Linked DNA regions of Caenorhabditis elegans. The protein of the gene in region 2 interacts with the protein of the main gene of each other region in a pairwise test. Each region holds a gene or a part of one and is shown on either strand. Other genes may lie near its edges.

Region 1 (11,653 bases), on a different chromosome or scaffold from region 2:
TGCAGAAACGTTTCACTTCTCTTGGTCGGGGTGCGCACGGAAATTAAGATTTGAAAATTTGAAATTTAAGGAATTGTGCGTATTTTTTGTGTCAGAATAACTAATTTCACTCCAAATCACGTCTCTTATCCCGATTTGGAACAACATGCTACTTTCAAGTCAGACTGGAAATGTAAACTTATGGATTCTGCCAATTTTATTCTTGGCTCAAATTCAACAATAGGGCAGTTGCCATTATGTTTACATCAATTATTTGTTAAATTTAAATTTGAATAAACTGAGATTCTGATGCTTTCAGCCTGTACCTCAAGCATTTCATTTTCTACCCTCACTTCCTCCTCCAATCCCTGTTACACCACTGACCCTGGCTCTTTTGCAAACAATGTCTTACCCAGTAGAAATTGCAACTTAAGATTCTCTACCACAAAACTGAACAACCTGATCCACAACCACCAACATCTGAACCATCTATAGAATTTAAAATGGGCACAACTTCGGTTTCCACTTACTATCCAACACATTTCATATTCATTCTTAAAGTTTCTTCCCGTTGCGACCCATTGCCACTCCTAGTTTCGGGGGGCGCTTCAGAGCAGTTTAGAGTGTGAGAGATTACTGTAAGCTTATTAAGTATGTGCATAAAGTCGTAAAAAATTAATTTCAATGCTTCATCGAAAAAAATCAATTTATTGAAAGTTTTTTCAACACCATGGTCATTCAACAAAAAGAGAGGACACAATCACAATTGAAAACCGGTTCTACAGATTGGGATTCCCAAATAAAACTAAATATCCATTAAGTTAATCTCGAGATTTCCAGTTAAAGTGGCCGTGCTTGATGGAATTTCACCAGAGAAGATTATCAAATCATCCACAGTTACCTGAAAATACATTTAATTGTTCTATTTTTCAGGTGTTCTGATAGAAAACCAACTGAAATATGTCGAACCCCGCGTTCAGGGGTTTTGCGATAATTGTAGATTACAATTTTTGAGATATATGTCTGAACATCAAACACAAAAAAGACTCGAGCACATCTATTCGGAAGAAGAGCTGTCAGCCACATATTTCTTGCTCTGAAATACCCTATTTATAAGGTAATAGGTTGAAACAACAAACATGTCAGTATCATTAGGTTGTGTGATTAGGTTATTTGAAGTACGCAAATCATTTTTTATATTTGGAAGAATGTTTACACTTTCTGGAAATGCTGCCAAGTCTGAAACATAACTGATATATTGAATATTTCATAAATTGAAAGTTTACTATGTTCTCTAATTTTCATGAGTTCTCCTTTCCGATTATAAAGTTCAATTCCATTGAGTCCAATGTAGAACTCATCACCCCATGTAGATAAAAGACGAATTTGAAATACGACTGAAAATTGGATTTTTTTCATTCTAATAGTAAGACAAGAAAAATCAAAGTTTCATGGTTTCCAGAAGTTCAAAGCAATTTCGCATGTTGATAATCTACGATACTAGAATAATAACTTGAATATAATTGAATTTTGAAAATTGAAGAAAATTATTTAGTGGACTACCAAAATTATGATATTTGCAAACTGATTATGAGTAATACGTTCTGGAAACAAGTTCCTAATTTATTAGTCCACTTTTGAAGAACATGAAAATTTGAAAAAAAAACGCTTCAGTTATCAAAATTGTTTAACTTTATCAGTTTAAATTTTTTTCAAAAGTAGATTTACTTACATCCACCAATACTTTGACTTATTCCCTTTGGCACAAAATCTCTTTCAGTGTTATTTGGGTCAAGAACCACATCTTGCACATAATCAAAGTATACGAATCCAGTAGCTTTTCGTAATAAAACATTCTTGATCAATTTTCCATTTATGTAAATCTTAGCTGCCTTAACTCCGGCGTATGAAAGTTCAAAACTAGCATTATAATTCCAGACGGAAATTGCTTTCAGAGCAACGTTGTCATGAAAAGTTATTGAAATTGTTGTAAAATTCTTTGAATCAAAGTCAACAAGCCACATGTCATGAGGATCACGAGTTAGGTTTCGACCGTTGAAAAGTCTGGAAAAAAAGAATCATGAAGAAAAATCTGAGACTAATGCAAAGAACTTACTTTTTAGATAGATCAGAATTTCCATCGGAAGTGGTCACTGTGTACTGTGACTCATCAATCAATTGGCTATGTTCATCCACAAGTTCTAGTCCAGTAAGTCCAATCAAACCATCCATTCCCCAATTGGAAAGTAGTTCAATATGAAGAGCTGCAAATATTTTATGTTATTGCTGAAAAAAAACTAACTATAATTTTCGAACACTAAACTTTTGTGATGGACAGCCAGTCTATGTCATATTTAGGTAGTTTTCGGTTTAATTAGAGCACGTTAAATATAGACAATGAATTATAAATTCATTTTCTACGGATTTTTAAAGTTAAACTTGAGATTATGTATCTTAAATGAGATATGAACTTCCAACGTACTGGAGATCAAGAATTATGATATTTTTTAATCCAGAAAAAAAGTGTTAAAATTCAGAACAGTTATAGAAAAAAATATTGTTTTTTTAAAATTATTTCAGGTAAAATATTTCTATGAAAGTATTAACTCTTACTTTTCACATCGTGCTTATAAGCTGTCCCAGTTTGCCTGAATATTGGAGGTGGAACTATGGTAACAGGAGTTGATGGAGCATCTTTTGCTTCACAAGTTGAAGGCCTATATGGTGTTAAATGATCCGCTTTTAACATTTCTATTGATGAATTTGAAATTGGTTCTTCAGGTAAACTTATCAAGCAAACATCGTGAAGAGCAATGAGCTCCAATATATTATCAGAAGTAGTGAAAAGAACAGTCTCCCCCATTACAGGTGTAAACTCAGAATCAGCGGAGAATGCACATTCAAGTTCTCCTCGAAATATCCCAACTCCATCCAAATACATTTCAAGGTAACGGACGCCAATTTGAGCATGAACTCTTGATGCATTGTAATTCTAAAAACGTTCTCATAAAAACATTAATATTTCACACATGAAAGAATAATTCTCACCCAAAATCTGATAAGTGCAAGTTTGCATGTTTCTTTGAGTTCCAAAGTTAGAACTATTTTCTCTTCCGTCGTTTTGGCACACCACATTTTTTCGGCGTCTTTGCAATGAACTCGTTGAACAATCAGAGATTCGAGACTTCCAGTGTACTCAGTCACATTTGTTGCTATCGGAAAATAGCAAAGTTTTGAATTAAGAATAATCTATTTTAATATTGAAATCCTTATGATAAACATCGAAAACTGCGAAGTTATGATAAATCTACGTACAACAATTTGGGCATAGTGGCATACGTTTTACAATTAAAATTTACTATTTCTGAAGGAAGTTAAATTAGCGCGAGACTTTTCATCCTCATCAGTATTTACCGATTTCTATTCGTTTTTTGTATATTTTCGCGTCGTGTCAGGCTGTATAATTTCGGTATGATCTACAAAAAATTCAAGAATTTTTCGCTGTGAAAAAACTTAAATTGTTGAATATATTAATAATTCTCTGAAACTACTATTTATAGTAATTACTATTTAATAAATAAACTTCGTATTTAAATAAAATCGAAGAAAGTCTACAGTACTAGCGGATACGGTAGCTGTGAAGTCTCATTCGCGTTAGGACCAGAGTACATGATTTTCAGTGGAAAAGCAATAAGTAAAAAAAACAAAGAAAACGACTTTACTCTGAATATTCAGAAAAAACACTAACTTTGTCTATAACAGCTCTTTCTCCTGTTGACGTGAATATTTCGACAGAATTTAGACCAATATAATGAGAATCTCCCCAATTTGAAAGTAACCTGAGCTCTAAAACTCTACCCTCCGGTAATTCTGGAATTGTGCTGAAAATGGAGAAATTGGACAAATGTTTGAAAAAAAGCTTACATTTCATTTTGATCTTCTTCATTCACTTCATCTTCAGCTGGTTCTAATTTTATATTTTCCGCATTTTTTTCAATTTCTTTCAAGTCAGAATCGGACATTTTCCTTCAAGAATTTGATTTCAGAATAATTTGTGTAAAAAGCTTCAAAATGAAAATGGGTCGTAAGAAAATAACGGAAAGGTAAGTAACAGCTATACGGGTGAAAAATAGTGAGAGAATCAGAGAAATTCCCCCTTTCTCAGGCTTCACTGCTCTCCGTTGTCATGGAAAAAACGAGATATTGTGTGAAAAGAAGAGAATTTAGAGAAATTCATAATTAGATATGAGAAACTGGTGGCAGGTGCCTTGTAGTGCCAAATGATTAGTCGACGGATAAAAAATAAATATGAAGAAGCCATTTTTAAATTCTCAAAGTGAGAAATTCAGATTTTTTCATGTCGTTTGTTGATGTTAGCTCACACGTGAGCATGTTGCTTGGAAAATCTGAAAGAATAAATTCATTTCAACGAAATGGTGCAATCAAAAAAATCAAGCATCTACAGTACATATTTTCAAAGAAAATAAGCAATTATGTGTGGGGAAGGAACAATACAAGTAAATGTGACAGGCAGAAAGACACACAGGGACCAAATATTGAAATCTGATTAGGAGGGAAAAAGTGAGGTCAAAAATAAATAGTACAATCATTGCAATACATTTATAAACGAGTTGGTGAGAGATTCTAGTTAAGGAATTTTGATATGACAGTGGATTTTCTATTTTTCGATTGTGAAGAATTCAAAAGTTAGTTTGTAGAATCACCAGCAGCGTTGTTATTCGTTGGTTGAGTTTTTGCAGAACGTTGATGACTCCTGAAAACAAAAAGAATTTTAAAGACAAATCATGAGGTAGCAAATTTTTTGGAAAAAATATTCGATCATATTTTATTACGACGATTTCGAAAAAAATGTACCATTTGTAAATTTTCGAAAAAAAAATTACTGGAAACTTATGAACTTAAAAAAATTGTTTTTTAAAAAATTTAACAAAAAATACACTGGACAAAAAACTAGTAACTAGAGTCAAAAAATGGCTAAAATTGTTAAAATTTCAACAAAAAAATCTTACAAAATTTTTTCATACTATTTGCATATTTTTCCATTTATTATGAGTTTTTTGGTACATTTCCGTCGATTATGCAAAAATTTCATCTATCGACCAAAAATCGCAATCAATGAAAAATTGTCGTGAACGACAAAAATATGTGATAAATAAGTAAGAATTACTTTGAAGCGTTAAATTTGAAAATAATTTGAATTAAAAATTTATAATAATTTACCGCCATAATGACACCAAATCTTTCACATTTGCTTCCCGAATATCTTCCATTTCGAGCATCATTCTCATCAAAAAAGTCTCAATTTCAATGGTTTTCTTTAATTTTCGTCTGTTTTCCGACCGAATTTCTTCGCGAGCAATGGACTGATCGACGAAGAGTGTCATCTGAGCAAATTCGTCAATAATGCGTGTGTTGGCTTTTTCCTGAAACAAAAATGAATAAAAAGCCTCAATAAAAAGCCCAAAAGCGCTTGAGACCTCAAACGTTTTTAAATTTTGAGTTTATAAAATAACTCACTATTGCGTTATCTATAGCTGCTTGAGAAACTTGTCTTGGCCTTTCTCTGACGTTCTGAACATGTTTGACCATCATCTGCCGATGATTGTGCATAATTGCTTCAAGAGCTAACATCAAATATTCGCGAAGGCATCGAAGCTCATGGGTGTCTTTTTGTAGAAGAATCAACTGAATGAACTCGTTTTTAGGGTTTTCAAAAACATTGGTACAAAAACCTCTTGGTGGCGGCTCGTGTCGTTTGAAGAATTTTTAACCAAACAAACTCGTCCATCCGCATCCAAAGTGTAGTTTTTATTGTTTAGTTTGTTAACTTCTTCATTAAGAAGGTTTTGATGTCCACCATTCCGAGCTAAAAGCGATTCGAGGGTTCTTTTACTGCTGGCGATGCCGTCACTTGCCTGCAAGAAGATTAGTTATTGAAACACTAATACATTTCACTTACAATCTTTTTATAACTCTTGTCAAGACTTTGATTAAGCACGAATTTCTCCAAATTGTTGATAACCTTCTGCGAACTGGCGCTATCAGTCCTGTAACTTTTGAAGCGATAAAAACATTATTATGAACAGATTGACTTACCATTTTACAGTCGTTTCTGCAGAAACTTGTGCTGAATTTTCATCGGGAACAAAAATACTTTCATCATCGGACATGCTTCGCTTTTTTGATTAAATTACAAAAAAAAATCGTTGGAGAAACGAAGAATGTGCATAGTGCACGGAGAGTGCGCTAACACAACTCCTTTGCGCGGTATCGGTGCGAGTCCGGGAAATTCATAAAATTGTTTATTCGTTTCTTGGAATGTTAATGTTCATTTTTATACAGCAAGCACATTTGTGCATTTCCTTCCAGTTTTTTAAAAGAATTATATTGTCGCGCTTTATTTCACCTCCAATGAGAATAATAATTGAATATTTTTTGTAGTAACAACAATGTCTCAACCAAATAAAGATCAGCGAAGTCCAGAAGACATAGACTTTAAGGTCAAAGCGAATCCAAAAGCGTTTCACAAATTTAACGGAAAGTTTCAACGCGTTTTAAGGGATCACGAGGACGATTTCAATATATTGTCTATCAGTATGCAGGATCATTTCGATACTACGAAACAGGTTGCTTTGAATTAAATGAAAAATTAAGAGTTCCTTATTTTCAGCCAAAAGAGGAGTTCGGTAAAAAAATGGATTGGTGCTATCAGCTGAAGAATATAATTTCGAAGAACAATCCAACGTGGCTATTCAATATCGTGCCAACTGGAAGTACAGTAACCGGATTGGCCACTAAAAACAGTGATCTAGACGTTGCAATTCATATCCCACAAGCGGCAAGAGTTCTGGAACAAGAAGAACGTGGAAGAAATATCACAGATGACGAACGACAAGCATCATGGAGAGAGTTAGGCTTTCTCGGGATTAATTAATTATTTAAATGACATAAATTACAGAATTCAATTGGAAATCCTACAAATTGTCCGTCTTAACTTACAAAATGATGAACAGATCAATTCAAGAATTAATTGGGAACATGGAATCCAGCTCGTTCAAGCTCAAATTCAAATTTTGAAAGTGATGACGGTAGACGGAATCGATTGTGATATCAGTGTAGTTATGGATCGATTTCTGTCATCGATGCACAATTCTTTTTTGATTCGACATTTGGCACAGTTAGTTTTCTTGTTGTTAGACATTCTATTTCCAATTAATTTTGAAGTATCGACGGCCGATTTGCACCATTATGTGCAATCGTAAAACAATGGGCAGCCAGTACAAAAGTTAAAGATCCAAAAGATGGAGGATTCAACAGGTTAAATATTAATCACTTTATTTGAATTTATCTAAAATTCTGAAATTTCAGTTATGCACTTGTTCTACTGGTGATTCACTTCCTCCAATGCGGTACATTTCCACCAATACTGCCAAATTTGCAAGAAATCTTTAAAAGTGAGTGAATATATTCTCTGTTGTTTTTTTTTCATAATTAAACATTTCAGAGGATAATTTCATTGCTTGGGATGACAAAGTCTATCCATCAATTTTGAATTTTGGTGCACCACTTCCCAAGCCTCTTCCTAGAATTGCCCCAAATAATGCTCCACTGGCAAGATTGTTCATCGAATTTCTATATTACTACTCGATGTTCAACTTCAAAGAAAACTACATTGGTGCCAGGCCTGTAATGGTCATGGATCGGTAGATTTTTTTTTCTGTGAATACAAATTAACCAATTGGATCTTCTTCAAAATAATAAACTGAAATTTCAGAAGAACATCACAAAACAATATGGTTCGTAGTTCAACAAACAAAGAGGTGTGTATTCAAGATCCATTCGATGAGCACAACCCGGGAAGAACTGTAAGAACATTGAATAGAATTAAAGATGTTATGAGGTAACCTTGAAGAAAACACAGATTTTAATTAATTGCTTACTTTCAGAAGCACATATCAGAAGTTTCTCCCTGTCGAAGGCTCCGAATTCACGTTTCCTACACTAGATGATATTATCAATATGTCACCAGAAGTGCCTAAACCATCGCGTGCAGAAGTTCGAAACTTCCGAGCTGAAGCCACAGAAGTGAATCGAGTCGGCTTAGGTGTCTACTGTCGGAACTCATTTGTATAGTCTTAATATGTCGATGTTTTGTCTTGTGTAATTAATTCAACAATCTATTTATAACATGGAAACAGTACGGTATAATAAAAATAAACCCGGTATAAGACAAAAGAAACAATACAATCACATGATAAAAGGCCACTTGAAAACGTTTCAGGTTTTAAAATTTTGAAAAAGAAACAATTACCCGGATTTCACAAGCATACACAAAGAAGTTGGCAGAAAAATTACAATTAAAAACATGAATTTTGAAAGGTTTGGTTTAAACAATTTGAGGGTTCACAAATACTTCATCCTCATCATCGTCTTCATCGTCAGTGTGTGCTCCTAAATTGATAGCACCATTTGTGGCATTATATTGAGCAAGCGGCGCATATCTAAAAATATTAAAATTCGAATTACGGAGACGATAACTAGCAAGGCTTACTCTACGTTTGAGCTTTTCGTCTCACTTGCACACTTTTTACAGGCACAGATTCCACAAGCCGCAATCAAACTAACTACAATCCAGAACATCAATCCAAATCCAGATGATTTATTAGAATCAATCAAAAGTGTAGGATCCGGCTTGGAGCAGTCCTCTGAAAAAATAATTGTGAGAATACCTGGAAGATTTTGAGAGTGTCTTCCTTACCACATTGCCAACTCTTTGTTGATCCTTCAGGACAACACGGTCTACAGTATCCAATCGATCCTTTACCATAACCTTTTGAACATTTCTCACAGCTCATTGGACCAGGAGCGGTGCAAGTTTCGCATGAGGAGTCGCAAAGATCACATTTTCCAACAGCGTTGATGTAATATCCGTCACCACAAAGATCTTTTCTCCAGATACATTTAGCTTGAACAAGATTCGATTCATCTGAAATTTCACATTGTTTAAACAAAAAACTTGTAACATGAGGAAAATGGTTAGAGGCCAAGAATTTCAGATGTAAATATTCTAAGAGGAAAGTTTCAGTGTAGAAGTAGGATTTAGCCTGAAAAAAGAAAGCACTCAAACATTCACACACAATACCAAGTTTTTCTTCCTTTGATTTTTCTGCTGTAACTTTTTTCTTCTTCAAGATCACTATTTCCAGACGCGAATTTTGGCAATTTTCATAAAAGAAATACGGTACCCGGCCTACGACAATTTTTGTCAAATTCGAAAAGCTGAGAGCATTTAAAGAGTACTGTAATTTCAAACTTCCATCGATGCGGATTTTTTTAAATCGATAAATTAAATCGATAGATTTAAATCGAAATAAAGTTTTTCGATAAAAAAAATTTATTAGCAAAAAAAAAACTAAAATAAGAGAGAAAAAATAAAAAAGTCTAAATCAACAAGTTTCAAATTACAGTAATCTTTAAAGGCGCTCGGCTTTTTGAATTTAACAAACACTGTCGTGTCGCGACCAGATTCGTTATTTTTGGCGCAAAAATCGAAATTTTCAGCGTCTGGAGATTAACTTTTTATTCTGAAACTCTTATAAAACTTACAATCAGCAACCAATCCTGGAGGACATGACTCAACACACTTTCCATGATCATAGTGTGGCATATTATCCACATCAATGAGCAAAAGACTTCCAGGACACGTTTCACACACCTAAAATTATAGAATTATTTTTTTTTGGCAAACAATTATGTCACCAAATACCTCAGCTTTCGTACAAGTATGACAATGGGATGAGCACATTTTACACTTGTCACCATCCAAGTAGTAAGTATCATCGCATTTTTGAACACACTTGAATCCACTTCCTCCTTTATTTCGAAGAGTTTGAGTTAAATGTTTGCAAGCGAAACATGATGTTGCTGAGCTCGATTCTGTGCAACCTGTAAAAATTCAAAAATTTATTAACAGAAATATGTCTCATATGTGCATTTTTTTTTCGATTTTAATTCAAAAATACAGTAACTGGTATCGACACCACCAATTTTTTAACGCGAAAAAGTTTTACATTGAGGAGTACTGTCGCGAATAGCATGGAGCAGGATCTCCATTATTCACGACTTAATAATTATTCTATAATTATTGCATAATTATGTACTCTACAATGGACGCTAACAACACCGAGCATTTCTATCACCATCGCTCAAGGAACAACCAACAGTCAGTGCTAACAAAGAACAAGGACCATATTGCCAACCTTGGAGGGACTTCCCGAATCAGTTCTTGCTTTATGTTCTTGCGTTACTTGTCTATTAGTGTTACTAGTTGTCTATAATAAATCCTTGTAGAGTCACCAAGTGTACTGTTAGTTTAACTTATATAAAATACCACTGAACGCACTGCAAAACAAGTACTGTAGCTCAATTTTTTATAGATTTTCCTTAGTTTTCTTAACATTTTATGTATTTTAAAGTAAGATAAACTGCTTCAGCACAATTCTTCAATGATTTTTGAATAACATGAGAAAGCTTTGAAAATCAGAGAAAATCGAGCAACGCGGAAAATGTGGAAACTACAGTATTCCTTAAAGGCGCGCATTCTTTTGCATTGAAAAAATCGGCCGTGTCGAGACCGGGTACCGTATTTTTGAAGCAATAGTCGCAAAATTTCGCATCTGGACAATATTTCCAGTTGATTTTGAAATTTCTGCAATGTTTAATTTTTGACTTTGAAATTTCTGAAAAAAACCGAAAATACTTTTTAAACATTTATAGTAATCGCGAAAATCAATTCCTCACCTCCATTACATTCATCATGACAATTTCCAGCCGACGTCAAATCTGGAAATGAGATCGGAGCAGACTCTTCAACCTGTAAAACAACGATCTACCGTAATATCTACTGCGTTTCGTAAATTCAAAAAAGTTTTGGATGGACAATGTGGTGTGTTGTGTGTCTGCGTACCTCACTATCTCTCACTACTTTTTTTCAAATATTGTTTAAAATAAGAAATCGGATTAAATTTGTTCTGATAAAATGGATCATCATGCCGGGACGGAAAGCAAGAAACAAAACTAAATATTTGAGGATAATTGACAATAAGTACAAATAGACACACACACACACCACGACGTGTACAACCATAAAAGCATAAATAGGCACAATATTGGGATTACGGTAGATCGTGATGAGACCCTGAAAATTTGATGGGAACACAATTGAAACACGTATTTTCAGTACCCAAAATGAATTCATATAGTCTCAAACCGCGAATTGGCGATGAATGGCATCAAAAATACAGACAAGAATAATCAAGAAAATCGGTTGAAATTTGGTGAAAGAGTATAAAAAACTATGGGTACGAGAAGAAGAGTTCAATTCTTGTAATGATTTATGTTCACGAGCATGCTCCCAATTCCAATGTGAACTCTCTTCTAATGTCACTTCCCAATGATTTCGAATTCTTTCAACAACTTCATCACCCTACAATTGAAACATGAAACAATTTTAATTGCAAATAAAAATAAGTTTGCAGGGATCCTGATATTGCACGTCGAAATTTCATCTTTTCAGTAAAACTTATAGAAACATAAGAAAAAAATTAGCTAAAAAAGTTTCACAACCAATTATAACTTCCATAGGCCTCTACGC
Region 2 (9,812 bases):
GGATTCAGAAGTTGTTACGACAAACTTCGGAAAGCTGTTGGAAACATCCCAATGGATGCATCAAAATCCACAAAACTTCACAATTTGTCAAGTAGGAAGATTTCAGAGATTCTGCCAAATCTCTACTTATCCGGGAGAACTGTGTCTCAGAACAGCGAACTTTTGAAGGAGAAAAATATTACGGTAAATATATTTTTTTAATGAAAAAAGTGTAACAATTAAAGTAATATGCTTCCAGACAGTGATCAATGTATCAGATCGGGAAGTTGTTAACTACAAGAATAATCAAAAGTTCATCAAAAACTACCGATTCTATGCAATGTCCGACACAGCAAGTGCGAAGTTTGATGGAATTATTGAAGAAGCAGTTCGAATAATTCACGATTCAAGATCTAAAGAAGGTAGGATACATTTTATCTTCAAATGTATATTTCCCCAAATTCCAGAAGGTGTTCTCGTTCATTGCTTCCTCGGTGTCTCCAGAAGTGCAACTTTAGTCGCATTCTACCTGATATCAGCTCTCTCCATCAACTGGCGGGACGCAGTTGACTTCATTCATCATAGAAGATTCTCTGCAAACCCGAATTTTGGATTTTTACATCAGTTGAAAGTCTACTCAACAACGGTAGGGAAAATTGAATGATAATTGGAAATTTCTATAAAAATGGATTTTCAGAAAGCTAAAGAATTTCGAAATCAACTAATCAGCGAACGATGTCTCAGAATGCGAGAATCTGATAAGGATATTATCAAAAAGTATTTACCACTTGCAGTGTTTGAGCTTTGAATTTCTTCTAATTCTTCATTCCCATATTTGTATTTTATTGCTTCTTTACCTACAAATGTACAATACAACGACCTCTGATCTTTGGTGCTTTCTTCCATTTTCCCTGATCTTCATGTACAATTCTTCTTGCCATTTCCTTGTACTTATTGCCACTTTCAAAGTTTAATAATTAATTAAAGTTTTTTTTTTTGCTTTCTTCTCTTCTACGAGTGATTCTATCAGAGTTGTGTGTTTCTATGTTGTGACTTATCTTGAGTTTGCTGTGATTTGTTTCTAACTTTTAAGTTGATATTCAGAATATGGTGCTCACTGATGAGCAACGACAGGCGATTGCCAAGAAACGAGAAGAGGCGATCAGGCGAGCTGCAGCATACAGGGAAAGAGAAATGGTAGTTTTTGGATTGTCAGGGTTTTTTGAAGCTACAGTATCCGCGACTATTTCACCATTTTTTCAAATTTTTTTCTACTCGGATTTTCATTCCTTTTATTAAAGAAACATACTGGATTATCATCACGTACACGCTAAACTTCATGTGAAAATACATAGAAAAAGTATAGTATTACGTGTTTATCCACAGATAATAAACACGTAATACCGTAATCGCGGTTACTGTAGCTGTAAAAGTACATTCATGGCAGACACACCCTTTCGCAATCAAGTAATAACTCAATTAATTCACATCATGTTTAATCTACAAATATGCCCTTTTCAAATGTAAATTATATTTTTAATACTGAAATTTATTAATTTCAGCAGGCTGCCGCCAACGCCACAGCTTCCACGTCATCTGCTGCACCACCAGCTCCTCCTAAACCAGTTATTCCCGTTATGTTCTCACAAAATCGACAGGTTTTTAAAAAATGAGTTTTGAATTGACAAAAAGTTTAGAATTTCCAGCCAATGAAGCCGACTATGAACAATAGCACAAAACAATCGACTATAAACAACTACATCAAACAAGTTCAGAAGCCAGAACCGACAAGTTTGATTAAACCGACGATTGGGGTGAAACTCAAGTTGGATATTGGTGATAGAATTAAGGTAATAAAATTTAAAAATTTGTAGTTTAACATATATTTAACATATATAAACATATATTTTAAGATTGAATTCTATCCATTTCATTCGGCAGTAATCGATCTCATCAAACAAGTTCCAAGTCGAAATTACGATCCCGCTAAGAGATCCTGGACAGTAGCTTCTTCCGATCACATCACCATCAGTAATATTTTAAAGAATGCAACAGCAGTGAAGGTGGAACTCGAACCTCTTCCTCAGAATATTATAGGATTAACGAACTTCAAACCAAAAGCAGCGCCTAGTGATTTGAATACAGTTATGGATCCATCACTTATCGAAAGACTCTTTCCTTATCAGAAGGAAGGTGTGATATTTGCATTGGAAAGAGATGGAAGGATCCTATTAGCTGATGAAATGGGATTAGGAAAGTCGGTTCAAGCATTGACAATTGCAAGATACTACAAGTATGATCCGATGATAGTTTAATCTCTTAAGATCGTAATAAATAATTTCAGAGCCGACTGGCCTCTCCTCATTGTGTGTCCAGCCTCTGTCAAAGGTGCCTGGAAGAAGCAGCTCAACACTTTCTTCCCAATAATTCATCGAATTTTCATCGTCGACAAATCCTCCGATCCTTTGCCAGATGTTTGTACTTCCAACACAGTCGCGATTATGAGCTACGAGCAAATGGTTTTGAAACATGATATACTTAAAAAGGAAAAGTATAGAACAATTATTTTCGATGAATCTCACATGCTGAAAGACGGAAAAGCACGACGAACGAAGGTGGCAACTGATCTTTCAAAAGTGGCACTTCATGTGATCCTACTCTCTGGAACTCCTGCATTATCACGTCCGTCCGAGTTATTCACACAGATCAGATTGATCGATCACAAGTTATTCACCAATTTTCATGAATTTGCGATACGATATTGTGACGGAAAACAAGGAAGATTTTGCTTTGAGGTACTGTGGATCGTTTTTTTTAAATTTAAATAACTATCTTTTTAAGGCAAAAGGATGTACAAACAGCGAAGAGCTCGCCGCAATCATGTTTAAAAGATTGATGATCAGACGTCTAAAGGCTGATGTCTTGAAAGATCTTCCTGAAAAACGTCGTGAAGTTGTCTATGTGTCAGGACCTACAATTGATGCTAGAATGGATGATTTGCAGAAGGCTCGGGCTGATTACGAAAAAGTCAATTCAATGGTAATTTTCAATATTTTAAAATATTGTTTTAAAAAATTGCTTCAGGAGCGAAAACATGAGTCTCTTCTCGAGTTCTACAGTCTTACTGGTATTGTCAAAGCTGCTGCAGTCTGTGAGCACATTCTCGAAAACTACTTCTATCCAGATGCTCCACCACGGAAAGTGCTCATCTTCGCACATCATCAAATCGTTCTTGACACTATTCAAGTGGAAGTGAACAAACGAAAACTTGGATCAATTCGAATCGATGGAAAGACTCCATCACATCGAAGAACGGCTCTTTGTGACTCATTCCAGACTGATGATAACATTCGTGTCGCGGTTCTTTCGATCACTGCAGCAGGTGTTGGAATCACTTTGACCGCCGCATCGGTCGTCGTGTTCGCTGAAATTCACTTCAATCCAGGATACCTCGTGCAGGCCGAGGATCGGGCTCATCGAGTCGGACAGAAGGATAGTGTCTTCGTGCAATATTTGATCGCAAAGAAAACTGCTGATGATGTCATGTGGAATATGGTTCAGCAGAAATTAGATGTGTTGGGACAGGTAGTGCAATTAATTGTCTATATATTTTTTTGCGTCTAATTTCAGGTCAGCCTGTCAAGTGACACATTCCGTACTGCTGACAAAATGCATCTCCGTTTCAATGATGCCGCGCAGCCTGGCATCGCAGAATATCTCAAAAAGACTCCAGATACAACGATTGATGAATGGGAAGATCCTGTAGAGGAAAAAGAGGATGATGACTTGGAAATCATCTGTGATTCTCCAGCTCCTAAACGTATCAAAAATTGAATATCAGCTCTTTATCCAGGATTCAGACACATTTGTGAAATTCCATGTTTCCAATGATTTCATATTTTACGCTCTCATTTTATAAATCTCAATTTAACTTCTTTTTACGGTTCACAGTGTATTATTCAATATCTCAACTTGTTTTTATATAAAAATTATTTCTTTAAATTGTACAAAGTGTGTGGCACGATTTTCGGCATACTAGAGCAGATATGACACATTGAGCGGGAAATGATCCGAGGCGACGTCGGAATAATTGGAGTAAATATAGAATAAATATTATAAATAGAAACAACTAATAATTTAGAAATGAGGCAGAATTGTAGAGGAACATCTCCGAAGAGAAGATAATTCTGAATTTCTACCAACACCTTTGCTTCTTTTAAATTGAATTATTCGGTTGGTGGAGACAGGTACCTTATCAGGATAATATAGAGATAAGAGATGCTTGAGAGAAAATAAGACTTAAAAAAAACATGGAGACCTGTTCCGTCGATGGTGTTCCAATTCTCTCAACGATAAGATTAAACTTTTGAACTATTTTTGCAAAGATAGAAATCAAAAACCATGAAGCTTTATTAGAGCTCAAAATTTGCGATACGCAAAAAAAGAAAATGTCATCGAATGCTATAAAAATTACCAGCATCTGGATCGTGAGAACAATACGGGACGAGTACGAGACATTATTATGCAAAATCCCAGAAAAAATTTAGTTTTGCTTTGCAAAATCGGTGACTGTTTTGATGATGATATCGGCCGCCTGTTCGACTTGCTCCTTATTGATGCAGAGTGGTGGAGCGAATCGGATGATGTCTCCGTGGGTGTTCTTAGCAAGAAGTCCGTTCTCCTTCAGCTTTAAGCATACTTTCCAAGCATCGTATTCTGAAAATAGTGGGGATTAATTATATCTGTTACTGGAATATTAACTTACTCTTATTAATGACAATTGCGCAGAAAAGTCCCTTTCCACGAACAGTTGATACAATATCTTTTGGAAGGGTTTTCAGTTTGGACATAAGGAGATCTCCCATAACAGCGGAATTTTCAACGAGCTTTTCTTCTTGGAGAATCTGAAATTTTTTCATTCATACATAACTTGGTCGCAGTTATAAAATTTACTTACCTCAAGGGCAGCAATGGCCACTTTACAGGCCAATGGATTTCCTCCATAAGTAGATCCGTGCTCTCCTGGCTTGATGTTCATCATAACATTATCGTCACAGAGCACTGCAGAAACTGGGTAGAATCCTCCAGAAAGCGCTTTTCCGAGTACAACAATATCTGGCCGGACGTTGTCGTGGTAGTGTGCGAGAAGTCTGAAATTTTAGTTTGTTTCAGATTTTGACAATATTAGGAATTAATTCTTACTTTCCAGATCGCCCGAGTCCACTTTGAACCTCGTCAGTGATGAAAAGAACATTGTACTTCTTGCAAAGATCAGAAACACCCTTCAAGTATCCAGGATCTGGGAGCACGACTCCAGCTTCTCCTTGAATTGGCTCAACCATAAATGCAGCGACATTCTTGTCCTTGATAGCATCTTCAACAGCTTTCAGGTTGTTATATGGGACAGTTTTGAATCCCGGGACGAATGGTCCGAATCTTGCGAATGAATCTGGATCAGTGGATGCGGAAATAGCGGCGATCGAGCGTCCCCAGAAGTTGTTTTCAGCGAATACAACCTGCAATATAATTTTTTTCAAAATCTAATTGGAAAAACTAGAATTTCAATACTTAATTTCAAGTCAAAATTTATAACTTACCACAGCCTCATTATCCTTGACACCCTTCACATCATAAGCCCATCGGCGAGCTAATTTTACTGCAGACTCGCAAGCTTCTACTCCAGTATTCATTGGAAGAACTTTATCATATTTGAACAATTTTGTGACGTATTCCTCGTACTCTCCAAGAACATTGTTGTAGAATGCCCGGGAGGTAAGCGTTAATGTGGAAGCTTGTTCTTGAACAACCTAAAAACTGGAAATTCAGTTAAATCTTTCCAATTCTTCGATCAACCTTGAGAAGTTTTGGATGGCAATGCCCTTGATTAACTGCAGAGTAGGCAGCAAGGAAATCGAAATATTTCTTTCCTTCAACATCCCACACAAAGCATCCTTCTCCTTTGGAAAGAGCTACTGGCAATGGTTTGTAGTTGTGACAACCGAACTTCTTCTCCCTATCGAAGATCTGCTGAGAGGTCAAGGATCGGGAGCCACGTGGCAGAGATGGAACGACACGACGGAGGGAGGACAACATTCTGCAAGTAATGAAAGATTGATAAAGAAGTGATAAAGAAAAAGGGAGAAAGAATGATATAAGAGAATCAAAATGAAAGTGGGAATGTGGGAAAGGCCATGGGAGGCGGAGCTGATAGAGAAGTTTGGTTAAAAAATAATAAGAATGGATGGCATGTAGCCGGGACAGAAAAATTAGTGAATTTTCAAAATGAAGAACTATTATTAAATACCTGAATTTAAGAATTTCCTCGCAGGTTTATTGGAAATAATTCTACAGTTTCAAAATTTTCCAACGTGATGCTCCGCTATTAAAATTTAATAAAATTGTTTTATCGCTTTTTAGGATCTAGTTTTTATAAATTTTATTAAATACAGAAAAGAAGGTTTAGAATAAGAAGTAAAATAATTGTAGCTTCTGTAGATAATGAAAATTCTCGAGCAAAGTTCTTTTTTAACTCCATGATAAAGGTTTTTGTCAGGAAAGATGGTGACATTGAATTTGAAAATCAGTTTTTATGAACTGATAAGCAATAAAACAATTCTAGGAAACAAACAACTTTTGAAATATTTTTTTTCTGATAAGAAACTGACCAGGTCGAGCACCATCGCCTACAAAATTCACAATTAAATAATCAAAGAATTCTGGTAATTTCAGTGGAATAAACAGGTTTCTGCCAATCTTATCATTGATATTACAGACAGATATTTAGAGATAATAAGACAACCTTCAACTTTTAATGATTCTTCTAATCTCTTGCCCTTCTCCTCGTGGTTGATCTCTTATCGTGGCGTTGATTACACGTTTCAACGAAATGATAATAAAGACAAAAATCAGACAAAATGGGATTATAGATGCATTCAATTTTAGTTTCTGATGCTAGGAACCCCTATGTGAAAAGGAATAATTGGATTGTAATTTATGTGTTGGTCAGCCCATCGCTTATTTATTTTATAGTCTAATCTTGCAACTGAATCGACACAAATAATTCAACTTTTCTGGGGGTGAGAAGATGAAAATCTTGCAGGAAAAACAAGGAGAGGAACTCGTTGTGTTGTGGAACAACAGCACTGAGGGCAGAGGAACAGAGAAAAAAAGGAAAAGAAATTTATTGAGCTGCAACTCAACAAACAGCTCCGAAAGTTTGTTTAGAATTCGGTTTAATTATTTTTAATACTGGGAACGGCAAAATTGTATGGAAATATATTTAGCAGCAAAATTAGAGAGAGCTGGAAAACCGCTTTCAAAAGATAATAATTAGTTCTAAAAAAACAAATTATTCACACTTTAAAAAGTATAGAAAAAATTTAACTTTACAAAAAAAACCAAATTCTTTCAAGAAAATAAGTTAAGAAAATAAGAAAATAAGCACAAAGAAGAGAAAAAACAAGGAAAGCCCAAAAAATCCAGATTGTCCGAAAGGAGTACACGGCAGATGAGAAGCTTACTTTTTCGGCGCGAGATTCAAATTTCAAAAAGAAAACAAAATTTGCCCAAAGGATAGATTTATCACGAAAACCTTTGAAAGACTAAGATTTTTAATGATAAAAATATAGAAATTGAATATTTAAGAAAATTTAAAACAAAATCGTTTTGCTGGTTATAAATAAATAAATGTGGCTCAAGCCAATTCTTGGTTTTGGAAAACTGGAAAATCTTTTTTTTTTAAATACTGGAAACACTCTGAAATGAGTATCTAAAAGTTGAGAAACCACAAAAATAAAATTTCCGATTTTCGATACTGCTTTGAAGAAAAACAAAGAAGAAAAGTTGCAGGCTTGCGAACGTTGAGAGTACTGTAGGTTACGGTACTGCCGAGGCGAGTTCTCAGGATCAAGAGGTTCGTTATGAGAAATAGATGTTTCTTCTTAATTATCTCTTTATGTTCTATTTATTTTTTAAATGTATTTATTTACCGGGTGACAACTTTTTGGAGACAAAATCACCTGCTTGGCACGCTTTATCTCCACACCTTTCATCCTTACTGTTATTTTCAGAAATCTTATTGAGCACAACCAGAAAATGCATTTTTTTTATAAATAAAACGTATGCACTTGTGTAGTATAACTCCATATTCAAAAATAAATTCTGATAATTTTCAGAACCAAGATATTTTGAATCAACAAACAAATATTAGGATCCTGAACTATTTACAGGGATAAATGGGAACTCCGATCAAAGATTATTTAGTCAGTGTTCCAGGACTTTTTTTTCGTTGCACCCTTTTATCTCCCAGTATTTTCAGACGTGCACCAGGATCTTGATTTCTATCCAGAATTCTTTCCAAAAAGTCCCTCACCACCAGAGCCTGTGTCGTCATCATAAAAAACTACTCCCATTGACTAGAAAACAAATCATCTAGTGTCAAATTGACGTATCATTTTTCCAATGAATCTCCTTCCACTGACGTCACATATCTCTTATGTTTTGGTTGGTTAAATTGCAACCAAAAGCCAGACACACTATTCTACGTAACAGTTGCCACTTCTTGGCACATTGGTCTTCCTCTTTGTATTCGATTCTGTTTCAATCATTGTTCATTTAAGTTCTTGATCTTCGTATTGATACTCATCTTCTGACTTAGTTGGAACTAATCTTTTTAAAAATGAATGTTCAGTTTTATTTTGCCATTTATCATTTTCGAATATCATATCCAGAAAATAAAGCCCTCAAAATTATTTGTTTGAGAAGATCTGAAAATTTAAACTTTTGAATACTCATGAAATTTCCAGAAAGCGTTTGAAGGATTTTTTATAACAAAAAATGAAGTTTCTCCGAAAGGTTTTTATATAAATTCAAATTCTTTCTTAATAGTATCAGCACCTGCTATCACAAAATGTTATCTTGTGATACGAGAACATTAATCAACTTTGTAAATAAAATCGTAAATATTTAGGAATATTCAAAAATTCGAACGGCATGTTTTTCCTCTTAAAAACTAGAAACTGTCAGTGTTTTTTTTTTATTTTAATATAAAATTCTAGATTTCTGTGTTAAAACATTTAATCATTTTTTGCTTTGAAAATTGCGATTATTTCTGCAAAATTGAGTCTCTAGGAATTCAAGAGTGCGGTAAATAATGACGCGGCAATTTTCCCCCTAAAGTTGTTTGCGTTTTTAGTTTTTCTAATTGTTTTAGAATATTTTAAAATTAATTTCTATCTTTCTCATTAAAAGAATCTGGGAACAAATTTCAAATAAAGAAACTTGTAAGTACTGTAGCTTATAATTTTGCATCTGTGGCCGGATCCAAGACGGAAATTTCGCCTTAAAATCGGTTATTAATATATTTTAAAGTAATTTTCGGTTAATTTTCAGTTACAGGAGATTGTGATCGAAAAACGTATGAATCACAAAAAGGTCGGTAAAACTAGATAAAGTCTATAGTATATTACTACATTTACTTCAATTTTTATTTTTTTTAATTGGAAACCTGCTCGTAACTTTAGAAAATGGTCTTTCTTCGCTTCTGAAACATGGGTCATTTTTTTAAAAACAAATCTTAAGTTTTAATAAAAAATTTTTAGGTAACTTTTTTTCAAAATGAACACATTTTTCTCATCAAATCCTTCTATCCAACCAAATATTTCAGTTTTTGCAAAAGAAAAGAATGAAAAAAATGTCCAGCGGCCAACAATTCTAGGAAGAAATTGAATTTTCGTAACATTTTAGTTGGACCAAATCCTGATTGAGCTATGTTCTCTTGTCTTTTTCATATAATTTTGTGCTCTTTTTTGCAACATACAGCTTGTTGATTTGAT

What was found.
Region 1: the proteins of oatr-1 (region 2) and K04F10.2 interact in a two-hybrid assay, tested with the Caenorhabditis elegans proteins (one large-scale study listed by BioGRID).

The regions. Positions count from the first base shown.
Region 1 is NC_003279.8:6,353,192-6,364,844, reverse strand, and holds K04F10.2 (Protein KATNIP homolog), read right to left. Parts: upstream 4,008-11,653; 5' UTR 4,002-4,007; coding exon 3,904-4,001; intron 3,861-3,903; coding exon 3,724-3,860; intron 3,192-3,723; coding exon 3,028-3,191; intron 2,972-3,027; coding exon 2,593-2,971; intron 2,244-2,592; coding exon 2,096-2,243; intron 2,044-2,095; coding exon 1,712-2,043; intron 1,377-1,711; coding exon 1,266-1,376; intron 1,219-1,265; coding exon 1,119-1,218; intron 1,076-1,118; coding exon 934-1,075; intron 881-933; coding exon 785-880; 3' UTR 673-784; downstream 1-672. Other genes in the region: K04F10.3 (Vacuolar protein sorting-associated protein 28 homolog), read right to left, coding at 4,687-4,753, 5,221-5,423, 5,518-5,685, 5,733-5,915, 5,960-6,053, 6,097-6,170; rde-3 (PAP-associated domain-containing protein), read left to right, coding at 6,450-6,626, 6,671-6,909, 6,959-7,177, 7,225-7,317, 7,369-7,454, 7,505-7,703, 7,775-7,900, 7,947-8,133; Endoprotease bli-4, read right to left, coding at 8,387-8,501, 8,552-8,705, 8,759-8,986, 9,607-9,715, 9,767-9,945, 10,801-10,873. UniProt on the Caenorhabditis elegans protein: May regulate ciliary A-tubule number and, along with arl-13, controls cilium integrity.
Region 2 is NC_003281.10:6,389,863-6,399,674, forward strand, and holds oatr-1 (putative ornithine aminotransferase, mitochondrial), read right to left. Parts: upstream 6,074-9,812; 5' UTR 6,073-6,073; coding exon 5,833-6,072; intron 5,787-5,832; coding exon 5,577-5,786; intron 5,496-5,576; coding exon 5,182-5,495; intron 5,130-5,181; coding exon 4,937-5,129; intron 4,884-4,936; coding exon 4,745-4,883; intron 4,696-4,744; coding exon 4,523-4,695; 3' UTR 4,376-4,522; downstream 1-4,375. Other genes in the region: C16A3.2 (protein-tyrosine-phosphatase), read left to right, coding at 1-183, 239-401, 447-625, 677-787; smrc-1 (SWI/SNF-related matrix-associated actin-dependent regulator of chromatin subfamily A-like protein 1 homolog), read left to right, coding at 1,087-1,176, 1,542-1,637, 1,677-1,829, 1,893-2,272, 2,324-2,774, 2,821-3,018, 3,064-3,564, 3,610-3,813.